Linked DNA regions of Ovis aries. The protein of the gene in region 1 interacts with the protein of each later gene in a pairwise test. Links are inferred from orthologs where the notes say so. Each region holds a gene or a part of one and is shown in the gene's direction. Other genes may lie near its edges.

Region 1 (3,500 bases):
ACAATTTCCAACTGTAGTTCACAGTCTAACTGGTACTTACATAGTTTTTTGAAGACCTTCCAGCAGTTTCATTATTAATCCTGTGTTTTAAATTACATTTGCAAATTGACCTCTGGAATCACAGTGGTAGGAGTTTGTTTTGAATTAGCAATTGCAACTTGGTTAGCAAGTGGAAATATTTAGGACCTATTCCAGTCATTTCTCTGAGCTCACTGAGCTTATGTCCCAAGTTCTAGTCTGATACCCTAGTTTCTCACCAGATTTCATAGTTTCCTCATCTGTTTATTAGTTGTGCTGTGAGTTAAAAATGGAACTCTGTTTATCTGGATGACTGTCATCAGATGCAGTTTCCAATGGCCAACTGAGTTCATGATACCCCAAAGAAATTTCTGGTGTCCACCACTCTTGTGCACACAAAGGAAGGCAATTATTTTAGCCCTGTACATCAAAGTAATTCACTTGCTGTGTTTCTAAATTTGTTTTTAACATTGAAGGCAATACTCATTAATAGTTGCTAAAATGTGCCTCATTGCCTTTCCTTTGATTTTGTTTAGGGAGTTAAGTATTTCTTTGAGATGTTTCTTTCCTGTTTCTGATCATTCCATGTCTCCTGGCAGATCCTAGGAAAGGAGTAGGCTGCATTTCAGGCAGTACCACATGGAAGTTATTTTATGGAAAATATTTCTGAATTCTGGTTTCCTTTCAGGTGCCTCAAAGAACAACTTCTATATCCCCAGCATTAGCAAGAAAGAATTCTCCTGGAAATGGTAGTGCTCTGGGACCCAGATTAGGATCTCAACCCATCAGAGCAAGGTAAGGGAAGGAAGATGGGTAAGGTGAAGGGAAGAGCCCCACCTACCGTTGTCATTACTGCTTTCCTAAAATACCACCTTTGTTCTTTTTTCACTTCTAAGGCATGTTGACTGGCCACCCGGACTGTAAATTTTGGTGGGCCAGAGGCAAGTCTTTTATTTCTTCAGTAGCCTTTCACAGAAACCAGTGTATAATGTGGGCTCATGAATGAATGAGCAAATGAATCACGGAATCAATGCAGAAGCCAGTCTGGCTTACCTTATTTGGCAGGTTTTCAAATGTGGGAGTAAAACTACAAATGAAGTCTGGGTGTGGTACCCCTGACCATTAACCTCAGGGACCGTGTGATGAAGCCAGCCAAACAAAGTGGCCTGATCTGAGATGATTTTTAGCATCAGGTCAAGAAACGTGCCCTGTGGCTCTGTGGTGACCGAAATAGAAAGGAAATCCAAGGAAGACAGTATATATGCATATATGTGTGACCGATTCACTTTGCTCTACAGTAGAAATTAACACAGCATTGTAAAGCAACTATACTCCAATTTACACGTGTACACCCGTGTCGGATCCATGTCAATGTATGGCAGAACCACCACAAGATTGTAAAGTAATTAGCCTCCAATTAAAATAAAGAAATTTATATTAAATAAAAATAATGAATTAAAAAAAGAAAGAAATGTGCCCTGAGGACTATTGAGACAGTAGAAAGTAATTAGCAAAGAGGACTTCCCTGGTGGTACAGTGGTTAAGAATCAGCCTGCCAATGCAGGGGACACAGGTTCAGTGCCATACCTCGTCTGGAAAGATTCCACATGCCTTGGGGCAACTAAGCCCATGCACCACAACTACAGAGCCCATGCTCTAGGGGCTGTGAGCCACAACTACTGAAGCCTGCAGGCCTAGAGCCCATGCTCCACAACAAGAGAAGCCACCACAGTGAGAAGCCCGTGCTCGCCACAACTAGAAAGAGCCCCGGCAAAGCAATGAAGACCCAACTCAGCCAAAAAGAAAGAAAGAAAATAATTGGCAAAGAAGTGCCATAGTGACCAGCTGCAGAGCTGTCCTAGTTTGGCAAATTGCAAAAGGACTAGTTCTCATGAGGAAGTCATCTCTGGAATTGTGGAGTGTCACTGAAATACAGTGATGCTCTTTGCTCTTCTGGAATTTTTTACCAACCATGTATATTCCTACAATCAGGAAGTTGCATCCACCTACTGGTGGGTGTAGAGGTCTGAACAGAAGCTGGAAAATAAACAATATCCTTACAGTATCACAGCAGATTTTATGGGGTAACAGATGCTGTTTGTTGCTGTCGTTCATCAAACTCCCCTCACATGTTTCATGAGTACACTCCTTTTTAGGATCAGCTGAAATAGCAAATGGCCTCTGTTGAGACTATAAAAAGGAACTTAGGGGTACTGTTTTATTCTTCATTGTGTTCATAAGAGGACAGTCTCTTGCTAGTCAAAGAAAAGAGACTGGAAATGAAGGTTATGACTATTTGTACAGATCCTAAAATATGGAATGGTTTTGATCATAAGGCTTTCATTTTTCTCTTCATATGAAAAGCCTTAGGAAGGAGTCAGTCTGTAAATAAGACAGAACTGTACTAAGAACATTCACCTCTGGAGGGCAAAGAAGCTAGCTCATTCTGAGTGGAGTTGCCAGTTGCAGAAGCTCTGAATTTTTTTTTGTCCAGCAGCTTGTCACCACCGAGCCGGTGCTGTGAGCAGGACTGAGGACCCCTTGTGTGGACTGTGACCAGGGAGTGAAAGGAATGTGAGGCTGGATTGCCAGCCTGAACTTTACCAGTCCTCCTCTCCAAGCAATAGTAAACCTCCAGTTATCAGGGCTTCTTGTTCCTTTGAACCCTGCCTTCTAGGCTGTGTTCATGAGATAAGTTGTTTAGAATTTCAGTTTCTGTACATCAAGCATCATTTCAACTTTAAGTCTTTTTCCCTCTATCAACCCAAAAGAAAGAGAACTGTGTTTCTCTAGTCAAATAAAAAGCAGTCCTTTGTTCCCTCTGAGATACTAATTTAATAACATTAAGGCTCCAAAATAACTGATAAGTGGTCGTGCATGCATGCTCAGTTGCTTCAGTTGTGTCCAACTCTTTGCAACCCCATGAACTAGAGCCTGCCAGTCTCCTCTGTCCATGGGATTCTCCAGGCAAGAATACTGGAGTGGGTTGCCATGCCCTCCAACAGGGGATCTTCCCGACCCAGAGATCGAATCCAAGCCTCCTGCATTGCAGGTGAATTCTTTACCTGCTGAGCCACCAGGGAAGCCCAATAAATGGTCAGTGGCTTGCAAAACATGTGCTTTTCCCTTGGAACCTCTTAAACGTTGTATTTTGTCCAAAGAAAGGAGATCTTGTGAATACAGCTAACATTTTTCTGCTTACAGAGAATGTAGGGAGGAAATGAACTTAGCAGTAATAATTATTTACCTGCAATGATAATCAAAAGCATTGCAGGGAAGGGGGGATGGAGAATCCCCGTCTCTGCCATGTAGTGTCGAACATGACTGAGCGACTTCACTTTTGCTTTTCACTTTCATGCATTGGAGAAGGAAATGGCAACCCACTCCAGTGTTCTTGCCTGGAGAATCCCAGGGATGAGGGAGCCTGGTGGGCTGCTGTCTATGGGGTCGCACAGAGTCGGACACGACTGAAGCGACTTAGC
Region 2 (4,061 bases), on another chromosome or scaffold:
TAGTATGATCTCCAGTTCTCAGTTTCCACTCAAAGAGCAAAAAATAAAAATTGTTAATAAGACAGCAATGGTCATGAGGCTTAGAGATAGGGAAAAAATAACTTGAAGACAGAAGAGAACCAGCCCAAGAACAGCCCATTCTTTTTCTTCCAAGAACAGAGAACAACGCCTGTGGAACAAACAGGAATGGATTTAAAAAAAAAAAAAAAAGATTAGTAGGATGCTGTGACTGCAAATAACAAAAGATATGCACCCTGTTGGTCATGATAACACAAAGCATGTACTAGGAAGTCATCCGTGTCTTTCCCAAGGTAAAACAGAATCTGTGATTTTATTACCAGCAGACTGTACACCCTTCCAGAAATATAGAGGGTGTAGTTCATACTTTGGCTGATTCTATCCTCCAAGTCAGGGCAGTGAAGCCCACAGCCCCTCCTAAGAATCCATAATCTTTGAAAACTACAAACTGGGATGAGGGAGATTCATTTTGAGGTAAATTCTAACCTGAACTCATCCTACTTATGGTCGTTAGTGGGAATGATCACATTCTTTGCTTAAAAAATTTTTTTAATGTGCTTGAACCCAAAAGGTTCAGATAAGGGATTGTGGACCTGTACTAAAACGCTCCCTTACTACGCAGCCACACAAGTCATTTAACCTTGCAGCCTCCGCTTCCTCATCTATAAAATGGAAATATAACCCCAACCTCTCAAGATTGCTTTGATGATTAAATAATAAAGCATCCTAAAGGCCTTAGCTCTGTGTTGGTACATGGAGGGCACTCACTAAATACCGACTGTAATACGGCTGGAGTACAGGCTTAAAGTCCATGCTTTCAGACCTGGAGATCCTGCCCCGACAGACCAGAGCTACCTCAGTCTGGCTCACCTGACTGTGAGAACGGACTGCCCTGATGCACACAGCACCGGGCGGCCGCCGGAGCTGGCCAAGGAACACAGTCCAGGCTCTCCCATGCAGGAGTCCGAGCTGGGGCATCTTGCGGCAGGAAGCAGGATTTCCGGAACAAGAGGCAAAGAACCTAAGAATGAAGCAGACAGGACCCCAGGAAGGGTTACAGGACACTGTGGAGGCGAAGCCGAGCACCAAAGATGAGATAAGTGCTTCTACACTTCTCAAACCTAGCACACTAGCTCCACTCTTCCCCGGCTCCCGCCCGGCCTCCGCACTTCCGGTAGGAGCCGGAAGTAATTTTTTATTGGGCGGTGGCTCTCTAGGCATATGGGCCAACTACTGGATATCCGGAAGTCCTCCGAGTCGAGGCTGTGGCCACCGCAACCTATCTAGCCAGCAGTCAGCTCCAGTCGGCAGCAAGTATGGCCGATCGTGCGGCGCTGGAGGATCTGGTGCGAGTCCAGGGAGAGCGTGTGCGGGGCCTTAAGCAGCAGAAGGCCAGTGCCGAGCAGGTACGACCCAGGCGGCGGGAGAGAGGACAAAACAAGGCCAGCGAGGACAGAGCGGGGGTGGTCAGCTCAGAGGATAGGGATCTGGAAGAAGGGACTGGACTGGTATAAATAGCAGGACGAGCTGAGTGGGGAGGTAGTTGGGGTAGGATTTGGGAGAAGCAAAGCTAGGAGAGAAATATGCTCCACATCCTGATGAGGAAGGGATACTGAATGAATGGCGGGAGCGGGAGGGAGTGGCAGATGTGGTAATCCAGCTCCTGCTTTCCCTCCACAGATCGAGGAGGAGGTGGCAAAACTACTGAAACTGAAGGCACAGCTGGGCCCTGATGAAGGAAAACCGAAGTTTGTGCTCAAAACCCCCAAGGTAAATATAATTCCTTTAGGGAGCCTCCTAGAGGGTCCCTAATTCCACTCACAGGACTCATATGCCTGCCTCCCTGAACCAGATCACTGAGAAGGATCTGAAATGTTGCAGAGGATACAGCAGTTGCTCTTGGCGCCAGGCTGAACTGGACTCTTATCTGAGTCATTCTGGGATGACAAAGTGATGGAAGAAACTAGGCCAGCTGGGTGCTTCGGGGAGTCTACTCCTCCTTTCATTCAGTAAATATTTACTGAGTGCTTACTGTGTTCCTAACAGTGTACAAAGCAGTGAGTGTACCATGGTGAACAATGTAGCCTGCCCTCAGAGAGCTTGGGCTTCCCTGGTGGATCAGTGATAAAAGAATTCATCTGCAATGCAAGAAACATGGGTTCGATCCCTGGGTGGGGAAGATCCCCTGGAGAAGGAAATGGCAACCCACTCCATTATTTTTGCCTTGGAAATCCCATGGACAGAGGAACCTGGTGGGCTACAGTCCATGGGTTCGCAAGAGTTGCACACAACTTAGCGACTAAACACCCACACACACAGAGCTTACATCCTGCAATGGAAACAGACTTGGGAAGAAAAATAATCCCACACATGGATATGTAATACAAGTTGTGTTAAGTTATGTAAAGAAATAGAAGGGATGCTCTGAGAAAAATAAGGGAGAACTGCAGAGTCTGAGGAAATAATAAACTAGTTGATCTGTAGATGAGTGGGAGACAGCCAGGTGAAGAATGTGAGGAAGATAGGTCCAGGCAGGGTAGGGAAATCCTGAAGCAAGAAAGAATCTTGGTACTATCCAAGAACTAGAAAAAGACTTTATGTCTGGAATCAAATAGGGAGGGACAGCAGAGTGGAATGAAGTTGCTAGCTCAGCCTCCATGATTTCAGTTCAGGTGACACTTTCTGTGAGTTCTATAAACCAGACTACTTACTCATCATCTAGGTACCCTTGGCACTTCATAAATACTGTTATTGCATTTATTGCTGACTTTTCAGTATTCACATGGTTGATTTAACCTGAGAGGCTGAGACTAGGTACCTGGGACTAAACAGGTATTCAATGAATGTATGTGAAATTTACTTCCACAGTAGGAGATGATTTGTCTTCCTTATGTGGAGATGTCACCTTTTAAGAGTAAATCTTTGGGCTCCTAAAATCACTGAGCTATTCTTTTCTACATGTAACTCATTTCAAACATTAAAAAGACAGTGTAAAAACCCAAGGCAGTAACCATCAATAGCTATTCAAACTACTGGGTGAAAAGATTAATGGGGATTTATTGATTGATCAGGCTGGCCTCACCTAAACCAGCATTTCTAAAAGTAGGACAACCAGATATTATATTCCACCAGATGTGATGCAATAAGAAGTACACACCACCACCTATGAAGTGTTCTTGCCAAGGACAACTGAAGCTGAATCTAAATCAGTTTTCAGATCTAACTACCAGTTTACTAGAAATATGGGAAATGGAGGAACACATGTTAAATGACCACCATTGAGTTTACTGTTAACCAAATCTAGAATGAGAAAAATCCTTTCAGAAAAATGACTCAATTTCCTCAACAAGAAAGGATAATTTAAAAAAAAAAATTGTTGCAGATTAAATAGACATGAGACACATCAACCCAGTAAAAGGCCTGAAGTTATTTAGAATCTGATTCAAACAAGCCAAGCATAAAAAGATATGACTGCAGCAACTGGGAGTAATAAACATGGTTTGGGCACTATCTAAAGGGTTGCTGTTAAGTGGACTGATCATAAGTTGTGTTGATTGTAAGAAAGGTATTACAGCGTTTTGTTTTTTAATCTTTGTATGTTAGAAAATCATACTGAAATATTTGTGATGATGGACCTAAAAAAAAAAAAAAGAAATATTTGTGGATGAAAGTATATGATATCTAGGATTTAATTTAAAATACTCTAGGAAAAAATGCTGGGCTTAGTTAAAAAATAGCAGATGTTGATAGTTGTTCAAGCGGGATAGTAGATACCTGGTGGTTCAGTGTATTATTCTCTATAATGTATGTTTGAAATTTTCCATAATGTTAAAAGAAAATGTGGATATAGTCAAGAGTTAATATCCACTCTAGTTTGTTGAAATACATTTCTTGATGTGTGATTCTTAGTTAACAAAAAACTCAATATTACAGGGAAAGGACTCTTTCAAGGGACCTTCCTGGTCAAAATTATTTTCATAATGTTACATGCCCTTTTCATTTCATTTGCAATGAAGGTGCAAAAGCACTGGTGTGTAGAACTG
Region 3 (3,991 bases), on another chromosome or scaffold:
ATTCTGCCTTGAGTGCGTGTGAAATGCGTTTACTCTCCAGTAGAATGCAGCAAACTTTGCACATATTCATGGGCAGAATCTGGTGTCATACAGCACGGGAGCGAATGCTGGTGACTTTGGGCAAGTCACCTCCCGTATCTGTTCCTGTTCCTTCACGGGCACTATGTTATGGGTTTGCTGAGGGGTATTCTGAGTGCTTATTACCATGCTCCGTGCTAAGCTTAGCTTCGCATTCTTACTTGAGCCCCCAAGAGCTCCCTCATTCCTGAAGGCCCCTACCCTGCAATACTTTTTCCTCACAGCACTTATCATCTTCTATCATACATAAATTTCTCATTTTGTTTATCTTTCATCTTCCCCTCCTAGGGCCTCTTGCCTTGCACAGTTCCAGAAGGCACCATTCACGATGCATTCTGAGCTCTGCTTGGGGCTGATTTTACTGAGATTATTACCATGACTAGTGCTGACTTCCCAGAGTTGGGTGATGTGGAGACTGTGGAGCTCCAGAAGTGGGGAATCTTTTTTTTTTTTTGCCTAGTTTGATCATTGCCATGTCCCCATACCCAGAACGATGCCTGACCTATATTAAACTGAAATACATGTTGAAAGAAAGAATGAAAAAATCCTCCAAAAAGAACCATTTTACTGGTGAGGAAACTGAGGCTCAATGAGTTATTGATTTGCCCTGCGTCCTGCTAAACCCTTGTCCTGAGGTGGCTGGGTTTCCAGCAAGCCTGCTCCCAACGGCTTTGCAAAGCTGCATGTCTGAGACACTTGGCATTGTCCCTGCCGCCCCATAATGCTCCACAAATATTAATGAGCTTGCCTACATGGATCAGCCCCTCTCCTCCGCTAGACAATCAGGCAGAGTGACAAACTGTCACATAGCCTTTGCTTGAGAAATTGAATTAAATTGCATGTTGCAAGAAAAAGGTGGACCTTTTGGAGTTTTTGGAGGAAGAATTCCTAACCCAACTGCCAATGGTAGGAGTCTTCAGGGGCCTCTCAGGCCTCCCCAGCCCAGTTCTTTTTCCTGCCTCCTTCCCTTTTGTGAGCCTTTCTTCCTCTTTTTGCTTGCAGTGAGTTCTGCTCTCCTGTAGGCTACAATGTGTCAGTTGTTATAAAATCCGGGAGGTGGAGCTTGATGACGAGAGCGGTGGGGGAGCGCTCAGCCAGCCCTGCAGGGCGTGCAGTCCAGCCTCCGGTTCACCGGAGCTTAAGTCTTGCAGCAGGAGAACTTCCACCTCGCTCTCCTGGCTTTGAGCCTCACTGTATATTGGACCAGAGGCGCCGAAGGGAGGGAGGATGCGAGATGATCGGCCCTTTGGCAACCTGACCATCTCTTTAACAGAGCCTTGGAAAACCAGCCGGAGGCTGACTGCAGGACCAAGGAGGCGCCGCGCCTCTTGTGGATGTGTGTGTGTGTGTGTGTGTGAGTGTGTGTGAGAGGGTGAGCGGGTGTGAGGGTGTGTGAGTGTGCATCACGACTGCGTGTGTGCATGGCTGGATGAGTGCACCAGTGCACGCGTGAGTGTGTGACTGTGTGTGTGTGTGTGTGTGAGAGAGAGAGTGTGTGAGGGTGAGTGCTCTTGGTTATTATTTTTTTGGAAGAAAAATCTTGAAAATCTTGGGCAGGTTACTGTGCTCCTAGGGTGGTGGTTCTTCTGCAAGAGGAGTTGACCAGACCAAGCTACTTGAGACATTTTTCTCTCCGAGTAAAGAGAAATTTCCTCTGAGAACGAGAGGGATTTTTCCGCTGGCTCTGCATCTGAGTGAAAGAGATTAGCCCCCTACACCTGTGAAATCGACCAGAGCCGTGTGATTACTAGGGTTGGAGCGAGGACTCAGGAAGAAAAGGAGCAATAAATCCAACAGCCTGTCAGTGCCTTTGGCCACATTGGAAGATGTCATCTCAAACTAAGTTCAAGAAAGACAAAGAGATCATTGCCGAATATGAAGCCCAAATAAAAGGTGAGATTCGGGCTGGGGAGTCATGCCTCCCCTCCCCTTTCCTTCTCTTGCTTTGGCTTTTTTTTCCCTCTTTTCCTCCCTGCCATCATGAAATGTTGTTATGCATCAATAATCTTATTGTGAGGAGGAACAGTGGCAGCTGCACAAGTCCGGACTGGTTTCGACTGCAGAGAGCGCTGGCGCTGGGAGTATGGACTGTAGAACGGGCGGCGATCACTGCATTGCAGGTGTGTGAGGAGGATCCTACACCCGGCTTTAGGAGTGTCTCAGATACTCCATCATCTTGGCCGTGGCATGTTACTCTCAGGCCATTTTGACAGTCACTGCCAAAGACAGTCACTACCTCCTCCCCCCGCCATGCAAAAATCCCCATAATAAGATGTATATTTTTTGTGATCTGCTTTTTTTTTTTCCTCTTTCTCCTTTCTGTTTTTTGTCGTTGCTTTGCCTCTGCCCCTTTCTCTGGTCTGGAATTCACATGCGTATACTATGGGAAGCAGCATCCCTGGGCTGCACTTCTTTGTCGGGGTTGCCATGGATTAACTGTTATGGAGCATATTGATCCAAACTAATGCAGGCATTTAGGCATAAAGAGGGAGCTCAGTGCAGAAAATGTATTGTCTCGCAGTGTGTGGCCCCCATCACTGTCTGTGCGTTAGTGTTTAGGGTCATCAGCCTTCATTGAAAACCAGCAGTTCAGTGTGCCGGCTGGTAGATGCTGCCTGGCTTCCGTAGTGCCAGTGAAAGCTGCCAGGAGGCTGAGATGACCTCTGGCTGCTTGTTGCAGCTTCAGTGCCACTCACGGGGTGCACACTCCTCTCAGAAGCCGCTCCCTAAATCCACACTAGCAAGGGGAAAGAGGAAACCAGACACAATTGCATAGACAAATTCAGGTAGATTCCTTGTTCAGGCCAGACTGGGGCTTCTCGCACCCTTGTGAGTCCTAGGCTCAGCTTTGGCAAGGAAACCATGAAAGCACCATCCAGCATGCTCACCGTTTCTTTTAGGATATACCCTAAGGGAATCCTGGGCCTCTCGGCATCTGATTTCCTTCTGGTCATGGTTCTCCTTGCTGTGACATAGGGTGTGTTGTGATCTCTTGTAGAAAGAGTAAGGACCGAGTACATCTTCAGGGGATGCTGATGCCTGCCCCCACCCCAGGACTATTGTGCAAGTTGGTTATTTGTTGCTCTGGTGACCTGAGGTTCCACACCTACTTCTAGGTGCTGCTGCTGCTCAAGGCTCAGTGACCCAGGAAGTCGGGTGGCTTCCCCAGGAGCGTTGGGAGGTCGCGCATCACAGCTGCTGTCCATGCTTCAGATGCTTGGGAAACTTTGGGAGGGGAGCAGCCCATCAGGGGAGAGCTTTGTTTTTTTTTTCCAGCCTTGCCAACCGTCTTGTGTCTTTTAGTTCTGGTCAAACCCAGCATGCAAATCACCTCTCGGTAGACCCCAGGGAGAAATGAGCAGAAAACCCTGCTCTTCCCTGGGCTCCTCCTCTGCAGTTTTCAGTTCACTGTGGAAAACAGTGACTTACAAGGTTTCAGCCTTGCTGAAAATTTAGAAATCCACCGTTTTATTGGTCAGAGATTTGAATTCTCTGACTGCTCAATACAGAAGCCTGCACGCTTTTTAGGGAGTTTATGTTCTGTAAGACTAATCAGGCTGATATTTATTTTTTTCTTTAAAAACTGAGTTTCCCATGAAAAATGCCATCAGAGAGAAGGGTAGGCGGAGCTTGGGATAGTTTGGGGTTTTTATAAGCATCGGCTTGGTAGGAAATGTACTTATCTCATTTTGAAGGATTGCTACCACTGGACCGTGAACTCTGCTTGAAGATCAATTAAGCATTTGTAGCTCTGAGTGATTCTTTTACTTTTTACCTTTTGTGTTTATTTTAACGTCTAAATAGCAAGGGCAGGGTAATGCATTTCAGCAGGAAATTTGTCCAAATGATCTTATCTCTTCTAAACTCTAAATGTCTTTGCATTCTGGTTAAAAGAGTTTCATTTTATTCCTCT
Region 4 (3,500 bases), on another chromosome or scaffold:
AGAAGATAGAAAAGCAAAGGCTTAGGAAATCTGGGAATGTGTGCTTGAACCCCACCTGCCTGACTTCAGAGCCTTGAGAAGGCTGAGTAGGGGCCATGATTATCTTAGCCAGTCCCAGGGCAGCACATACATTATGCAAACCCATTGCCTCTCACCCACCCCTTCCAGGAAACGTGGTCTTTGGTGAGCCCATCACTGCCAGCCTGGGCACAGATGGGACCCATTACTGGAGCAAGAACTGGGCCAAGGCGGCTGCATTTGTGACATCCCCACCTCTGAGTCCTGACCCGACCACTCCAGACTACATCAACTCCTTGCTGGCCAGGTTGGTGCAGAATGACAAGCAGTGGGTGTTGCGTGGAGACGTCTTAGGGCCAGTGGAATGGAGACCAGGGCCACCCATCCATCAGCTAGACTAGAGTCTGCAGTAAGAAAAGCACATCGGGAATTCCCCTGCAGTGCTGAGCACAGACAATGGGCTCTCTGCCATTGTATTTTAAAAGATACTCTAGTAATCATTTTAGTAATGGTAACAGCAGTTAATACACATTGTTTGCCAAGCACTAGAGTGAGATTACATATGTGATCTCAATGTTCCTTACAACAAACATCACCCTGAGTGAGGAACTATCATCACTGTTTTACAGATTGAGCCTACTGGAGGTCCAGGAAACAAATCACTTCCCTAGTTTTAACAGCTGGTCATGAGGACCACCGAACCAAAATTATAGGGAGACTTGTTTGCTGCTGCCCTCTATGGATAAGTCCCATCACTCGTCTGGGTCCCTTTTTTACTGTTACATAAGAAGTGATCTAATCCACTCCCCTCATTTTCCAGATGGGGTAACTGAGTCCCAGGGAGTGAAAGAAATCACCCAAGTTCACAGTTGGCAAGAGGGAGGGGAAGGATTCCAAACTCAATGCACGGCACTCCACATCCTTACCCTAGACTCTTGTTTCTGGGCCCCTGGGGAGCCTCTAGTCTCCTAGTTCACATGGATCTCTTTCCTTGGCCAGTGGAGACCTGCAGCTCTCTGGGAGTGCCCACTGCACCTTCAGCACTGCCCAGAAAGCCATCGGGAAGGACAACTTCACCGCCATTCCCGAGGGCACCAACGGTGTGGAGGAGCGCATGTCTGTCATCTGGGACAAGGCTGTGGTGAGGATGGAGGTCACAGGAGGGCAGCTGAGGCCAGATCAGAGTGTCTGCTCCTTGCTCCTCTCCACCCCTGGGGGCGCTGGGTGTGCAGATGAGGCCTCGTACCTGCCCAGGTATCTCTGGAACCAGGTGGTTTGTGAATGTCCCTTCTAGAGTGATGAGTCCCAAGGGCTGGGTTCTCAGGAGGCCTCCTAGATTGTGAAGGACTACGAATTGGTGGTGCTAGTGGTAAAGAATCAGCCTGTCAACGCAGGAGACGTAAGAGATGGTTCGATCCCTGGGTTGGGAAGATCCCCTGGAGAACAGCCTGGCAACCCACTCCAGTACTCTCACCTGGAGAATCCCATGGACAGAGGAGCCTGGCGAGCTACAGTCCATAGGGTGGCAAAGAGTTAGAGATGACTGAAGCAACTTAGCATGCATGCACGTGAACCAGAAACACATCCTTCATCTGATGGTACGAATAAAGGATTGGCTATAATCCTTTGACATGATAGGTGAGGGGTCTGTGACCAAAACTCAAGTCATTTGCTCACCAAGAACGGCCTGCACTGGGCTGTGTGGTCATCCAGAGTGTACAGGTAATTGTCAGAGTCTTCTGGCAAAGTGGTGTGGTTTTACTTTCCTTGTTAACATCAGAGAAGCTGACAAAAAACATAGCCATGCAAATGAAGTCACTTCCTAAGATTTAACTGACCTTTATAAAACTCATTATTAAGTTGATCACTTCCCTCTGTTTTATTTAAAAAATCCTAGACACTCATTTCAGAGCCAAATAAAATACACATCTACACCATGTAATCCAAGTTTCCTTTTTTTTTTCCCCCTCTTGGTTCCCAGGAAGGTCAAAACTAGATTTTAAACTAAATTCTTTCCTTACCCAAGCTTTCTGTTTTGAAAAGGGGGAAAGTATAAATATTTTTGTCTCTTCTCATATAAACTTTTTTCATCTTTTCTTACATTTTTATGTATTTATGAGTATATGTGTATATATAATTATTTTGGCACTATCTGGAACTGCTAAAAGGTAATACATATCTTAAAATTACTCACATGATACCTGCTGAATAAAGAACACTTGGAAACCACAGAAAAGTTCACACATTAAAAAAAAAATCACTCAGAATTCCATAACCCAGGGATAACCATTGTTTTCATTTGGGCAAGGTTCTTCCATATTTATTGGGTGCCTATGCAAATAGAAATATCTAAAATATGGGCTCACAGTTACATTTGCTTTTACTTTGAAATCTCTATAATCCCTTTTGGACTTAGAAGGGATAAATAAGTAAGTAAATGTATGTACATATCTGGAAAAAACATGCATACTTCCAGAGCAGTAAATTCCATCCTAAGCCATGCGGCCATGCATTTGTCCATTTTGTCTGGGTGATCCGGACAGCCCAGAGCTACAGCTGATTCTTCTGTAGCTGGGGTGGACTTCTGTGCTTACCACTTCTGAAGCCCCTCTTTGTATTTCTGGGCCTAAGCCCACCCAGTGAGCTACAGAATCATTGGAAGGACTGATATTGAAGCTGAAACTCTTAATACTTTGGCCACCTGATGTGAAGAGCTGACTCATTTGAAAAGACCCTGATACTGGGAAAGATTGAGGGCAGGAGGAGAAGATGAGATGGTTGAATGGCATCACTGACTCAATGGACATGAGTTTGAGTAAACTCTGGGAATTGGTGATGGGCAGGGAGGCCTGGCGTGCTGCAGTCCTTGGGGTCGCAAAGAGTTGGACACGACTGAGGGACTAAACTGAACTGAACTGTGGTCACCCTGCTCTGAACTCAGAAGCCCTGGAAGGATCATTTTGTGTGTGTGTGTATTTTTACAGGCCACAGGGAAGATGGATGAAAACCAGTTTGTGGCCGTGACAAGCACAAATGCTGCCAAGATTTTCAATCTGTATCCTCGCAAGGGAAGAATATCCGTGGGCTCTGACAGCGACCTGGTGATCTGGGATCCAGATGCTGTCAAGATTGTCTCTGCCAAGAACCACCAGTCGGTATGGCCTGAGTGGGTGGGCGTGGAGTAGAGTGGGGAACATGGGTGGGGAACAGGGACAGGAGAGATGTGAGTTTGTGGTGATCCAGGGTTATTGGGCGAGGATGTGTTGCAATAACCAATCATCCTGAATTCCCAGGGATATAAAAGCTCAGCAGTTTATTTCTCACTTCTGCTTTGCAAAATAGGTGGGCAAAGAGGGGCTCTGCCCATCACAGTCACTCAGGGCAGGGGCCAATATAGGCACCCTCTCTACCTGCGCTATATGACTGCTGAGCCTGGGGACCGGGATGCGGCCCTGAAAGCTTTCCCCCTGCACTGGTCAAAG
Region 5 (3,500 bases), on another chromosome or scaffold:
GCCCAGACCCCGGGCACAGGGTTCAAGGCCTCACCCCTCTCGTTCTGGCTGTGCCCCGTGCCAGTGGCGGGGGTGTGAAGGGCTGCAGCTGTATGTGCAGGACCCGCGTCCTGTGCACGTCCAGCAGGCGGGGGCCCCTGGGCAGGGTCAGTCATGGGGGCCCATCCAGGGCCTTGGGGACTGGAGGGGAGTGCTGGCTTCCTGCCCTGACTTGCGTGGGGGGCTCGCCCTCGACCCCCCAAGCCTGGTGAAGCCCGCCTGGGAAAGAGGGTGTCGGAGTTCACGCCCTGTGAGGGGCGGCCTGCCATTCGGGGTGGGAGCACGGGCGGCCTGGCCACGGCATGGCCCGCCGCTGCCGTCTTCTGGGGCCCAGGAGGTGCCACAGCCGCCTGCCCGGGTGTTCCGTAGACACGGTGATGGGTGGGCCCCTCCTCTCTCCGGGAGCTGTGTGGTCCCTCCTGTGCCCCCCGCATGGGGAGCGAGGTGACCTGAGGCTCTGCCGCCCCCATCTTCTGACTCCAGTGGGGGAGATGCCAGGCAGACAGCGGAGGGTGTCTCCCTGACCCGCTGCGTCCTGCTCTCCTGTTGCTAACTGGGGTGGCTGGGCCAGGCTTGACGCCAGGTGAGGAGGGCACCATGCGGCCTGGCGAGGGAGGGCCTGGCGCGTGGAGCTCTCGGGTCGGGGAGGCCAGGCAGCCGCGTCCTCCTTGGCCGTGTGGCGACGGGACCCTGGGCCAGTGGCTGTTAACGCTCCATGCCTGCCGCTTGCTCCCTTCCGGCCGTGTCAGCGACCGGAGTGACCGAGCCTCTCCACGGCCTGCCAGTCTGCAGCCGGACATTCCTGCGGGTGGGCCTGCAGGGTGTTCCTCTGTGTGGCCGGGGCTGGTGGGGCAACGCCTTTCCCTTCCTGCCTTGCATGAGCCCCTTCTGGTTTCCTGGGGTCTCCCCGCCACTGAACCCTCCAGGCCCCAGGTCCCTCTCTTGGACAGGAGTCTGGGCAGGCGGGCCCACAGCCCCCACCAGTGAGCAGAGGTCCCCCGACAGGTCTGGCCCCACAGCTGCCTGCTCTGGCCAGAGCCAGGGCCGACCAGGGTCTGTCTGGGGGGAACAGGCTGGCCTGTTTGGCCCGAGGCAGCGCCAGCTGCTCAGCCACATCTTCCGGGGGCACTGAGGCCCAGTGATCTGTGAGGCAGGCCAGCAGCTGCCACCTGGGCCCCTGGGACGCCGGCATGATCGGGTGATCGGGTGGGCGGTGGGCAGGGACTCAGCGGCTGTCACCCCCACCGTGGCGTGGAGACTGTTGCAAGAATGTCTCCCTGAAGCTTGACTGCTCTTGTGTGTCCGGAGGAAGGCCTGGCCCACTGCCGGTGGCCGAGCTACAAGCTGCCCCTCGGCCCTGACCTGCACTCTCTTCTCCAGCAGGATGCTAGCTCCCGGGGCGGCAGCAGTGGCCGCGAGCGCCTCATCGTGGAGCCCCCGCTGCCCCAGGAGAAGGCGGGGGGCCCGGCCATCCCCTCGCACCTGCTCAGCACCCCCTACCCCTTCGGCATCTCACCCAGCTCGGTGGTGCAGGACTCCCGCTTCCCACCGCTGAAGTAAGTGTGGGCTGGGGGTTGGGCACGGTGTGGGGTGGGACCCCCAAGGTTCTGGCTGCCGCGAGTCGATACCAGCTGAGCCCGAGAGCTGCCCGGTGGTGGCCGCGCCCTGGGCTGGCAGCCCTGCTGGCCGTTGCCACTTGTGCCCGCGGCGGGCTCTCTGCCTGCCTGACCCTAACCCCCCAGCCTGGCTCCTAGGGCCGGAGGTGGGGGGTGGTCTCCCCACGCTGCAGGTCACAGACCCGTGCCCTCTGGTGAGGGGTCAGGCCGGCCCGAGGAGCGGCAGCTGCCCACCTCTGGGCCCTGGGCCTCCGGCAGGGACTGCCATTTCGAGGAGGGAGGTGGTGGCGGGGGGCTGGGCGGTGGCCCAGGGGCCCGGAGCTCACCTCCGCCGCCCCCTCCCGCCCGCAGCCTGCAGCGGCCTGTGCACCACGTGGTACCCCCCAGCACGGTGACTGAGGACTACCTGAGGAGCTTCCGGCCCTACCACACGGCCGAGGACCTCCGCGTGTCCTCCCTGCCCCCGCTCGGCCTGGACCCGGCCACCGCCGCAGCCTACTATCACCCCAGCTACCTGGCCCCGCACCCCTTCCCGCACCCGGCCTTCAGGTGAGGCGTCCGGACGTCCCCAGCCACCCGCGGGCAGACCCCGGTCTGAGACCAGGTTCCCCGACGGGGGGACTGTGGGGTGGGCCGCTCCCCCAGCCTCTGGATGCGCCGTCCAGAGCTTACTCCTGGAGGGAGACTCTCGCGCCAGCTGGCCTCCCTGGCTCCTCCACTTCCACTCAGGATTCCCCAGGCGCGCGTGACTGTTAGTGCCCGGAGCAGACGGCGCTATGCCTCCACTCTGTGTAGGAGCTTCCCAGGTCAGATGGTCAGACCTGGAGGGGCCCCACTGGGCCTGGCCCAGCTGAGCTGAGGGGTGGCCGGCGGGGCCTTGTGGCCTCTGGGAGTGCAGGGCTTTGGGGCTGGCTGTGGAAGGGGGCTCTCCGGGACCTTTGTGGAGGCCCTGTCCGCCGCTCCCGCATTAGTACCTGTGCCTGGGGGGGAGCTGGGTCCTGCCTTCCTCTCCACCGTGGCCGCTCACCGGCCCCCTCTGCCCCCACAGGATGGACGACTCCTACTGCCTGTCAGCCCTGCGGTCCCCCTTCTACCCCATCCCTGCCCCCGGCTCCCTGCCCCCGCTGCACCCGTCGGCCATGCACCTCCACCTCTCGGGTGTCCGCTACCCGCCTGAGCTCTCCCACTCATCCCTGGCGGCGCTGCACTCAGAGCGGATGTCCAGCCTGAGCGCCGAGAGGTAAGCGAGCCCCGTTCGAGAGCGTGGCTGGGCCAGCTGTGCTTGGACAGCCACCCCTGCCCTCGGCCTGCTTGTCTGCAGAAGGGGCACTGCCGGGAGCTCCCAGCTGCTGTCTGGAGGCCATGTCCTCACAATCGCTGGCTGCGGCCGGGAGCTTTCCAGGCTCCTGGAGAGTCTCTGTCCACGGCTTTCAGTCTCCAGTGGACGCTGAGTTTTTTCTTGGCGTGTTAGCCAAAGCAGAACCTGGCCCGCGGCCCGTTCCCATTGGGGCGGGGAGAACCCCGGGCTCACGTGTGAGCGCCTCGCTCCTGGGGGTTCTCCCGCCACGGAGGTCACATCCCTGTCCTTACCTCCAGGCTGCAGGTGGACGAGGAGCTGAGGCGAGAGAGGGAGCGCGAGCGCGAGCGGGAGGCCGACCGCGAGCGCGAGAAGGAGCGGGAGCGTGAACGCGAGAAGGAGCGCGAGCGCGAAAAGGAGCTGGAGCGCGAGAAGGAGCGTGAACTGGAGCGCCAGCGGGAGCAGCGCGCCCGCGAGAAGGAGCTGCTGGCCGCCAAGGCACTGGAGCCGGCCTTCCTGCCCGTGGCCGAGCTGCACGCGCTGCGGAG
Region 6 (3,988 bases), on another chromosome or scaffold:
CTTGAAAATAATAGGTTTGTGTGTAGTTTGGTAAGAAAATTAGAATAATTTAAAGTTGTTTCAGTTTCAGTCTACAAAAATAGAGACTCAGGGGGATGGGGAAGAAGAGCAAACAAAATGTACCAAAAAATACAGATTATGTAATAAAGTATATATTTGTTGTTGAGTCACTAAATCATGTCGGACTCTTTTGCGACTCCATGGACTGTAGCCCCCCGGTTCCTGGGGTTTCCCAGGCAAGAATACTGGAGGGGCTTGCCTGTAGACACTCAAGAAGGGTGTCTTGATGTGCTGGAAATCTGATGGCTTAGTCCTTGTTGCATCGCAATATCTTGAAGTCTCAGTTTTTTCATCCATGGAGTGGAATCATGGTAATACCTTCTACCTGGAGGCGCTATTATAAGGATTAAGGGGATGAATATAACGCCTACACTATAAAGCTTTTTGAAAATAAGGCTTGATAGGTGTATTACACTTCTGAGTCTTCAAAGTCAGAGAAGAGTACAGGAAAAAGGGTCTAGAAAGGCTTTAGAAGCTGACAATCTGGGTTCCAATTCCCATGCCACGACTAGGAGTTTCCACACCTTGAAAAAAGAAATGCACTTAATCCTGCTTCCTCTTCTGGGGAAGTGAGGCTAACACCACTTCACAGAATCAGATGAGAGAAAGGAGGCAAAGGCACCCACCTTTGTAGATGTTGAATGCCTTCCCCTGCAAACTACTTATTAATGTCATCGACAGTAGAAGGTTTTCACACTGTGGCATCATTCCGCACATACGGACCCTAAGACAAGACAGGACAGATAAGGAAAACTGAGGTGAATCCAAATCGGGGAAGAGCAACAGCTAGACCGGGCGAACGTCTTAGTTCCCTCGTAACCACTTTGAGGTTAGGGTATCCACACAATGAAGGCATTCAGAGTTGGAGAGGGGACCAAGTCGAGTGCCCCTTTCGACTCCGTGGACTCGACGGGAGGGACCCTGAAATTCTTCCTTAGAGGCCGGTTGCCATGGCGACGGTCTCTAGGCAGCTTGGGCTGCTCTCTCAGTAGGGCTAGAGGGTGGGCCTCCGCCGGACCCCGCGCGCGCGCCCGAGACCAACTTTCCCTCCAGACCCGCGAGGGGCGGCGCGCTCCGCCCCCCGGCCCCGGGCCGCGCACGTCCGGGCTCGGCGGCGCGCACGCCTGCGGGAGCCCTCTCCAGGCAACCTAGTGCTGATCGCTCGTGCCGGTGCGGCCGTTAACCGCCCTTGCGGGAGCCGGAGGCTCGCCAGCAGCCCCCCTCCCCTTCCCGGGCCTCCCCCACCCGTTTCCCCGGTCGGCCCTGGGGCATGAGCAGCGATGGCCGGCTGCACCCCTGAGGAGAAAACTTACCGGCGCTTCCTGGAGCTATTCCTGGGCGAGTTTCGCGGACCGTGCGGCGGCGGCGAGCCCCAGCCGGAACCCGAACCCGAAGAGTCGGAGCCCGAGCCCGAGCCCGAACTGGTGGCGGCTGAGGCGCGCGAGGCGTCGGTCGAGGAAGCCGGGGAGGCGGCGGCCGCGGGGGCCGCGTCGGAGGAGGGGGAGCAGGAGCAGGAGCGAGAAGACCCCGAGCCCGAGGAGGAGGCGGTGGAGGAGGAGGCGGCGGCGGCGGCGGGCGAGGAGGCGGCGGCCCGGGGGCAGTCGGCCGTGCCGCCGCCGCAGCCCCGGCTGCCGCCGCTGCCCCCGCTGCCGCGGCCACTGTCGGAGCGCATCACCCGCGAGGAGGTGGAGGGCGAGAGCCTGGACCTGTGCCTGCAGCAGCTCTACAAATAGTTAAGTAGCGGGGCTCGGCCGGGGGGTGGGCCGCCGTCCCCGCCGCGCCGGCCTCGACGCGGCTCCCTCTGCCGCTCGAACTGCTCGCTTTTCCGCTCCTCATTCCCCCGCCCGCCTCACGCCGGCGCCCTGGCGAGGCTGGAGGCGCCCCCGCTGCTCGGACTCGGGCGGTCGGCGGCGAGATGCCCACGCCCGCCGCGGCCCCCGCGCCTCCCGCCGGGCCCGGGAGCCGCCCCCCGCGCCCTCCCGCCGGGCCCCGGGCTTCCCGCTTCTCCCTGGCCGCCCACTTCTTTCTCCACTTCTCACACCTTTTCTGCTTGGTGCCTGGGAAGGTCCTTCCTTCTAGTCTTGAGAGCTCCCTCTTCCCAGCCCTCTCCTTCCTCCTGGAGGTTTTCCTCCCACCCGGGTCTGTCTTTTTCCTGGCGCGAGTCGCCCCCCCCGCCCTGTTGTTTGGCGGCGGAGAGACGCGGTCTCCTTTCTAGGCAGGAGCTGCTTACTGGGTGCCTCCTGCGTAACCGCAACAAAGATGATAATCCCGGCCCCAGATCCACAAGAGGGGAGACTGGAGTCGATATTCTTCTGTTGGGCGCTCAGTGTTGAAAGTGTAGATGGCTTAATATACGGAAGCCTCGTATCGTAGTTTAATGATACTTGATAACTCATAATTGAGGGAGGTGGGAAGGAAATGAGGAGGGACGATAAGGAAAATTTTACCTGCGAGCCTTCAGGTGAAAGACAGAGTCGCAATTCGTTAAAGTGGAAAACTCTGGCTGGTTTGATAAAATTGCAATTAGGTGCAGTATTTTCAGTCCATTAAGTAGATGGGGTAGAGAGAAAGCAGATGGCTTAGCTACACAGATGAAAGTCTAAAATAGAAAGGTCAAGGCTTTGCCTTTCATCCCAGTTTTTATGGGCCTGAAATAGAAGCAGTTTACAATTGCGTTTCTTTCTAAATGGAATTGTTCTGAAATAATGACAGAGGAGAATACTAACAAGTTTCTGAGAACACTGGTAAATCTCGGGAGCCTTTTGCCATTCTGCTGATAGTTGTAATGAAAGATGTTACTCTGTCCCCATCAAAAAGTTTACTATTGCAAGATTCACTGCAGTTAAGATCACTTCTTGGATTTTTTAAAACGCTTAGATTAAGAAAAGGACCTGGAAAGTAAAGGTTTTGTCTTCTTCCAACCTAACAGACACCTGATCAAATCATTCTTCCTGTTAAAACAGAAGCTTGTCAACAAGAAAAAACACTGAACATATATGCTGTAAAAGTGGACTGTGTTGATACTTTATACACTATTGAAATTTCAATTTTGAAATCCTATCTGGTTACCAAAGTAATACTGCTTTGGGAGAAATGTGAAATGGCATGTAAAAACATCTTAGGAGTATTTCTTCCTAGTGTTTGTAAACAACTGTAGAATGGAGTTTATGAAATATCATTTTTAATACTATATAGACACTTAAGACTTCTCGCTTAAAATAAAATGGAATTGTTTAATGAAGTGGAAAGATTTATCTTAGCATCAGACTAACTCTACTTTGACAATTTTACCTTTACAAATGAATTAAAGAAATACACATTTAAACATTAGAGAAGGTCCATTTCAAAAAAAGAGTTATTAGTTTAGAAATATGTACCATTCAAGGTTTTGTAAAAATGAAATCTGTATGAAGATGATGGTAGGTAGATGTGTGTTTTGCCACATGGAAGGGAAGCAAGATTTTCAATACATGTATAAACCAGAAAAGTATTCAGATTATAAAATGACCATCTAATTGAGAAAGTTTAGATTTGAAGTAAAACTAGCAAAATTGAAGTTGGAAAACATTATTTCACCTTAAATCAAAGATTTCATCATGTATACTGTTTTGTGCAGAAGCTATTATGTTTTACTCAGATATAAAATGCCTGGCTTGTTTATGTAAAGTATCTTCAAGGTTGTTAACAGACAGAAAAAAAACAAAACAAAACCCAAAAACCTAAAAGTCTCACAGTTTAAAAACACATACTTTTTGTGCTTTATTATTTATGAAAGAAAATCATACAACTTGGCCACAAGAATAAGTACTGGAAGGCATTGTAGAGATAGATCGTTTTCCTGTTCGCTTCGTTTTACAGAAGAGAAAACTGAGGATCCCGATTCAGAAATGACAAATTATGTACAAATGGTTTTCCAGCATTTTTAAAT
Region 7 (3,346 bases), on another chromosome or scaffold:
CCCGTCTGCTGTGGCTGGCTGGCACTCCAGTCCCTGGGGCACCGAGTCACCTTGGGAGCTTGTTGATGATGCAGAATCCCAGGCCGCACTCCCAGGCCACCTCATCCAGGCAGCTGTGGTGTGGCCCTGGAAGCAGCATTTTTATAGGCTCCTCTTCAGAATTCTGGAGCAGGTGTTCCGTGATCCACTCCTGGAGAAATGACACCGAGGAGCTCCTACTCAGTACCCCCTGCATGTCTTACAACCCCACCACCAACACACACACATCCCCTCCCCCCCCGCCGCAAGGCAAGCCCCACAGAAGTTCCTGCTTCTTCACTTCCTCTTCTGCTCAGCCAAGGGGATGCCTTGCAAAGGGGACCCCTGATAGCTAGTCTGAGCCCATGTTCCCTTCAGGGCCTTTCTATGTCCTGAGGCACAGGGGTGTCCAGAGGCTGGGCCAAGACCCGTGCACACTGCAGACCTTCCTCCACTAGCTGCCTGAGCAATGCATGTTGTGGAGAGGGCCACCAGGCAAGGGCCTGAGAGGACCTCTAGTAGCTGTGAGCAGCCCCTGGTCAGCGGCTGAGTGAGAAAATGCAAGGAAATGAATTCTACCCAGGACCTGAGGGAGCCTGGCTGCAAATCATCCCTTCGTCAAACCCCCGGATAGGGATGCACTCAGTCAGAACCTAGATTTCAGCCTCATAAGACCCTGAGCAGAGGATTCAGCCAACCTGTGTCTGTCTAAACTCCTACCTACTGAAAATGTGGGATAGTGAGTTTGCATTACATTCAGCTGCTAGTTTGTATAATTTGTTATGCAGTAACAGAAAACCAATCCAACGCCCAATAAAGTGATTTTTTAAATGGTATTAATACATAAGACATTAACTATGAGACCTGTCCTCACTTCAGGCTGGCCAGCATGCTTTTAGGAACAGGAAACCACTCAATGGAGTGGTTCTGTGCTTTTCTAGGGTGACCATTGTCTAGTCTGTGCTTATAAATGAGCAAGGCGGGGAGATCCAGCTGAGTGATCTCAGTGACTCCAGGTCTCACCTGAAGATGCTTTTGCTTAGCTCTGCTGCCCCTGTACTATCATCAGTCATGTCCTGCTCTTCATGACCCTGTGGACTGTAGCCCGCCAGGCTCCTCTGTCCATGGGATTCTCCAGGCAAGAATACTGGAGTCGGTTGCTATTTCCTTTGCTCTGGCCCATGTCCAGTCTCAGAAACCTGTCTGGATATGTTGACGCAGAAAGAGGCAGAGCTCAGGCAGTAGATGGAAGCCAGTGAGAGTAAGGGAAGCAACTGCGTGTAGGGAGTGCATGGGTGGGATCTGGAGCCAGCTGCTTGGGGTGGAATCTCAGCTTCACTGCTTATAACGTGTGTGATTTAACCTCTGGGAGCCTCATCTGTGCACATGATAACAGTCAGGACCTCATAGGGTTGTGAAAATGAACTCAGGTAATGGAAGTAAAGCACCCAGCACCATGCCTGGGATATAAAAATGCTCACTAATATGAGGGGTAGACCTGGAAAAAATCAAAACAGGCTCCCAGGGGTTGGGCGAGCCTCACTTTTGGAATGGAAGCCCTCTGATGAATGAAGGAGGATAAGCTGACCTCCAGAGCAGGGGAGAGCACAGAGTCAGTGGACCCGGCCTTGTACTAACCGGTCCAAACCATCCCCACCCCCGCAGCCTTCGTCCGTTAAATCCCTGCGCGCTGAGCGCCTGCCACGCACCTCGCTGGACCTCGAATTGGACCTGCAGGCCACCAGGACCTGGCACAGCCAGCTGACTCAGGAGATCTCGGTGCTGAAGGAGCTCAAGGAGCAGCTGGAACAAGCCAAGAGCCACGGGGAGAAGGAGCTGCCGCAGTGGGTGCGGGAGGACGAGCGCTTCCGCCTGCTGCTGAGGATGCTGGAGAAGCGGGTGGGTGGCGAACCGCGGGAACACAGGGCGCGCCGCTGCAAGGGAGGGCGGCGAGGGCCCTGAACGGGTCCTGCAGTTCTGTGACTCACTGAGAGTGCTCCCAGAGCCCCTCAAGCTCATCAGCAAAGGAAGCCAGCAATCCCTCCCCCAGGAAGCTTGATTCACTGTTTACTGCTGCCAGGTTCTTTTGCTGCATTCCCGTCTATGTGTGCAAGCCCTTATTACTCGCACGTTTATTCCAGCAGCTGGTCCTTCATCAGGCATACTGGGGGGCACTTTATCTACGCTGGGGCACACACTTGCACAGAGGAAATAAAAACGCTGACTTGCCCTCGTGCCTGCCTACCCAGTCCCACAGAGCACGTTTCTCCAAAGGGGAGAGGAGTGGGTCCTGGCCGGGTTTTATCCTGATGAAGACGCCTGAGGATACAAGCCTCCTGGCGTCTCATCCGTAGCGTAGTGAGCTGGGGAGATCTCAGCGTTGCTCAAGAAAAAAGATACAACCACAAAGGGGCCAGAGCATACGATGAGTTGAATTTGGGTGGCTGCTGCTTTCACAGGTGTGTATTTGGGAAGGTCTCACACTGCATGAGACGCCCCCACCCCCAGCCTCCAGAGGCAGCTGTTTTGGCTCCACTGCCTAGAGGGGACTCCAGGAGTTGGTGATGGACAGGGAGGCCTGTCGTGCTGTGATTCATGGGGTCGCAAAGAGTCGGACACGACCGAGCAACTGAACTGACTGACCTAGAGAGGAGGAGACCAGGCGAACTCCCAGGGGAAAAGGGAGCTGGAGAGGGGACCTAGACTTGGAGATGATGTGACTTGGAGCACCATGAGAAGTCTTGGGTTGGAGAACAAAGCAGCAAGAGTTTGGAGTCTTTTATAGTCCTGGGGTTTAGCACATCTAGACTAGCAGATGTTGGGTGCACTTTTAGGGGGTATAGGTAACAGGCAGGCTCTAAAAGTCTAAAAAAAAAAAAAAAAGAAAAACCAAACTGCTATTTGAGCTTCATTTAAAACAATTGGATGGGTAAAAATTTGTCTTTGACACCAGTGGGCTCTTAGCTAACAGATCCCAGACTGTGGTGAAGAAATAAAACACCATAGGGTTAACACACAGAGGCCATCTCTGCCTCATTCCTTTCATACCTGCCAGGATGGCTGTCCATGGCAGAAATGACAAGCTTTTGCTAGTTTTCTCTGCACACAGCCAAGCAATACAAGAGCGCCTTCCAGAGGGTGCCTCACTGGATTGTTGGGAGGGCCATTAGCTAAAATTCCGACTCTCAATTAAGGTGATAACATAAAGCAGGAGGTGGTGCTGGGCTTCCTAGGTCTGGACTTGTGGGAGCCTCAAATTGACTCTAGTAAATCAGAAGTTCCCCAAACATTTATTTCTTTCTTGTTTATTATATCAGAGTTATAATAA

The links.
Region 2: the proteins of TNIK (region 1) and HARS1 interact in a two-hybrid assay, tested with the Homo sapiens proteins (2 studies listed by BioGRID and IntAct). The link is inferred for Ovis aries from reciprocal best matches to the Homo sapiens genes TNIK and HARS1.
Region 3: the proteins of TNIK (region 1) and SRGAP3 interact in a two-hybrid assay, tested with the Homo sapiens proteins (2 studies listed by BioGRID and IntAct). The link is inferred for Ovis aries from reciprocal best matches to the Homo sapiens genes TNIK and SRGAP3.
Region 4: the proteins of TNIK (region 1) and DPYSL3 interact in a two-hybrid assay, tested with the Homo sapiens proteins (2 studies listed by BioGRID and IntAct). The link is inferred for Ovis aries from reciprocal best matches to the Homo sapiens genes TNIK and DPYSL3.
Region 5: the proteins of TNIK (region 1) and GSE1 interact in a two-hybrid assay, tested with the Homo sapiens proteins (2 studies listed by BioGRID and IntAct). The link is inferred for Ovis aries from reciprocal best matches to the Homo sapiens genes TNIK and GSE1.
Region 6: the proteins of TNIK (region 1) and PPM1E interact in a two-hybrid assay, tested with the Homo sapiens proteins (2 studies listed by BioGRID and IntAct). The link is inferred for Ovis aries from reciprocal best matches to the Homo sapiens genes TNIK and PPM1E.
Region 7: the proteins of TNIK (region 1) and WWC1 interact in a two-hybrid assay, tested with the Homo sapiens proteins (2 studies listed by BioGRID and IntAct). The link is inferred for Ovis aries from reciprocal best matches to the Homo sapiens genes TNIK and WWC1.

Annotation. Positions count from the first base shown.
Region 1 is NC_056054.1:217,053,465-217,056,964, forward strand, and holds part of TNIK (TRAF2 and NCK-interacting protein kinase), read left to right. Parts: intron 1-706; coding exon 707-813; intron 814-3,500. UniProt on the Homo sapiens protein: Serine/threonine kinase that acts as an essential activator of the Wnt signaling pathway. Recruited to promoters of Wnt target genes and required to activate their expression. May act by phosphorylating TCF4/TCF7L2.
Region 2 is NC_056058.1:49,476,055-49,480,115, reverse strand, and holds the start of HARS1 (histidine--tRNA ligase, cytoplasmic), read left to right. Parts: upstream 1-1,261; 5' UTR 1,262-1,334; coding exon 1,335-1,424; intron 1,425-1,698; coding exon 1,699-1,788; intron 1,789-4,061. Other genes in the region: histidine--tRNA ligase, mitochondrial, read right to left, coding at 889-996. UniProt on the Homo sapiens protein: Catalyzes the ATP-dependent ligation of histidine to the 3'-end of its cognate tRNA, via the formation of an aminoacyl-adenylate intermediate (His-AMP). Plays a role in axon guidance.
Region 3 is NC_056072.1:17,301,278-17,305,268, forward strand, and holds the start of SRGAP3 (SLIT-ROBO Rho GTPase-activating protein 3), read left to right. Parts: upstream 1-1,191; 5' UTR 1,192-1,904; coding exon 1,905-1,971; intron 1,972-3,991. UniProt on the Homo sapiens protein: GTPase-activating protein for RAC1 and perhaps Cdc42, but not for RhoA small GTPase. May attenuate RAC1 signaling in neurons.
Region 4 is NC_056058.1:56,340,365-56,343,864, reverse strand, and holds part of DPYSL3 (dihydropyrimidinase-related protein 3), read left to right. Parts: intron 1-168; coding exon 169-325; intron 326-1,017; coding exon 1,018-1,159; intron 1,160-3,002; coding exon 3,003-3,173; intron 3,174-3,500.
Region 5 is NC_056067.1:11,173,734-11,177,233, forward strand, and holds part of GSE1 (genetic suppressor element 1), read left to right. Parts: intron 1-1,419; coding exon 1,420-1,595; intron 1,596-2,006; coding exon 2,007-2,204; intron 2,205-2,703; coding exon 2,704-2,895; intron 2,896-3,251; coding exon 3,252-3,500.
Region 6 is NC_056064.1:9,415,059-9,419,046, forward strand, and holds the start of PPM1E (protein phosphatase 1E), read left to right. Parts: upstream 1-1,188; 5' UTR 1,189-1,340; coding exon 1,341-1,792; intron 1,793-3,988. UniProt on the Homo sapiens protein: Protein phosphatase that inactivates multifunctional CaM kinases such as CAMK4 and CAMK2. Dephosphorylates and inactivates PAK. May play a role in the inhibition of actin fiber stress breakdown and in morphological changes driven by TNK2/CDC42.
Region 7 is NC_056058.1:78,063,658-78,067,003, forward strand, and holds part of WWC1 (protein KIBRA), read left to right. Parts: intron 1-1,683; coding exon 1,684-1,917; intron 1,918-3,346. UniProt on the Homo sapiens protein: Regulator of the Hippo signaling pathway, also known as the Salvador-Warts-Hippo (SWH) pathway.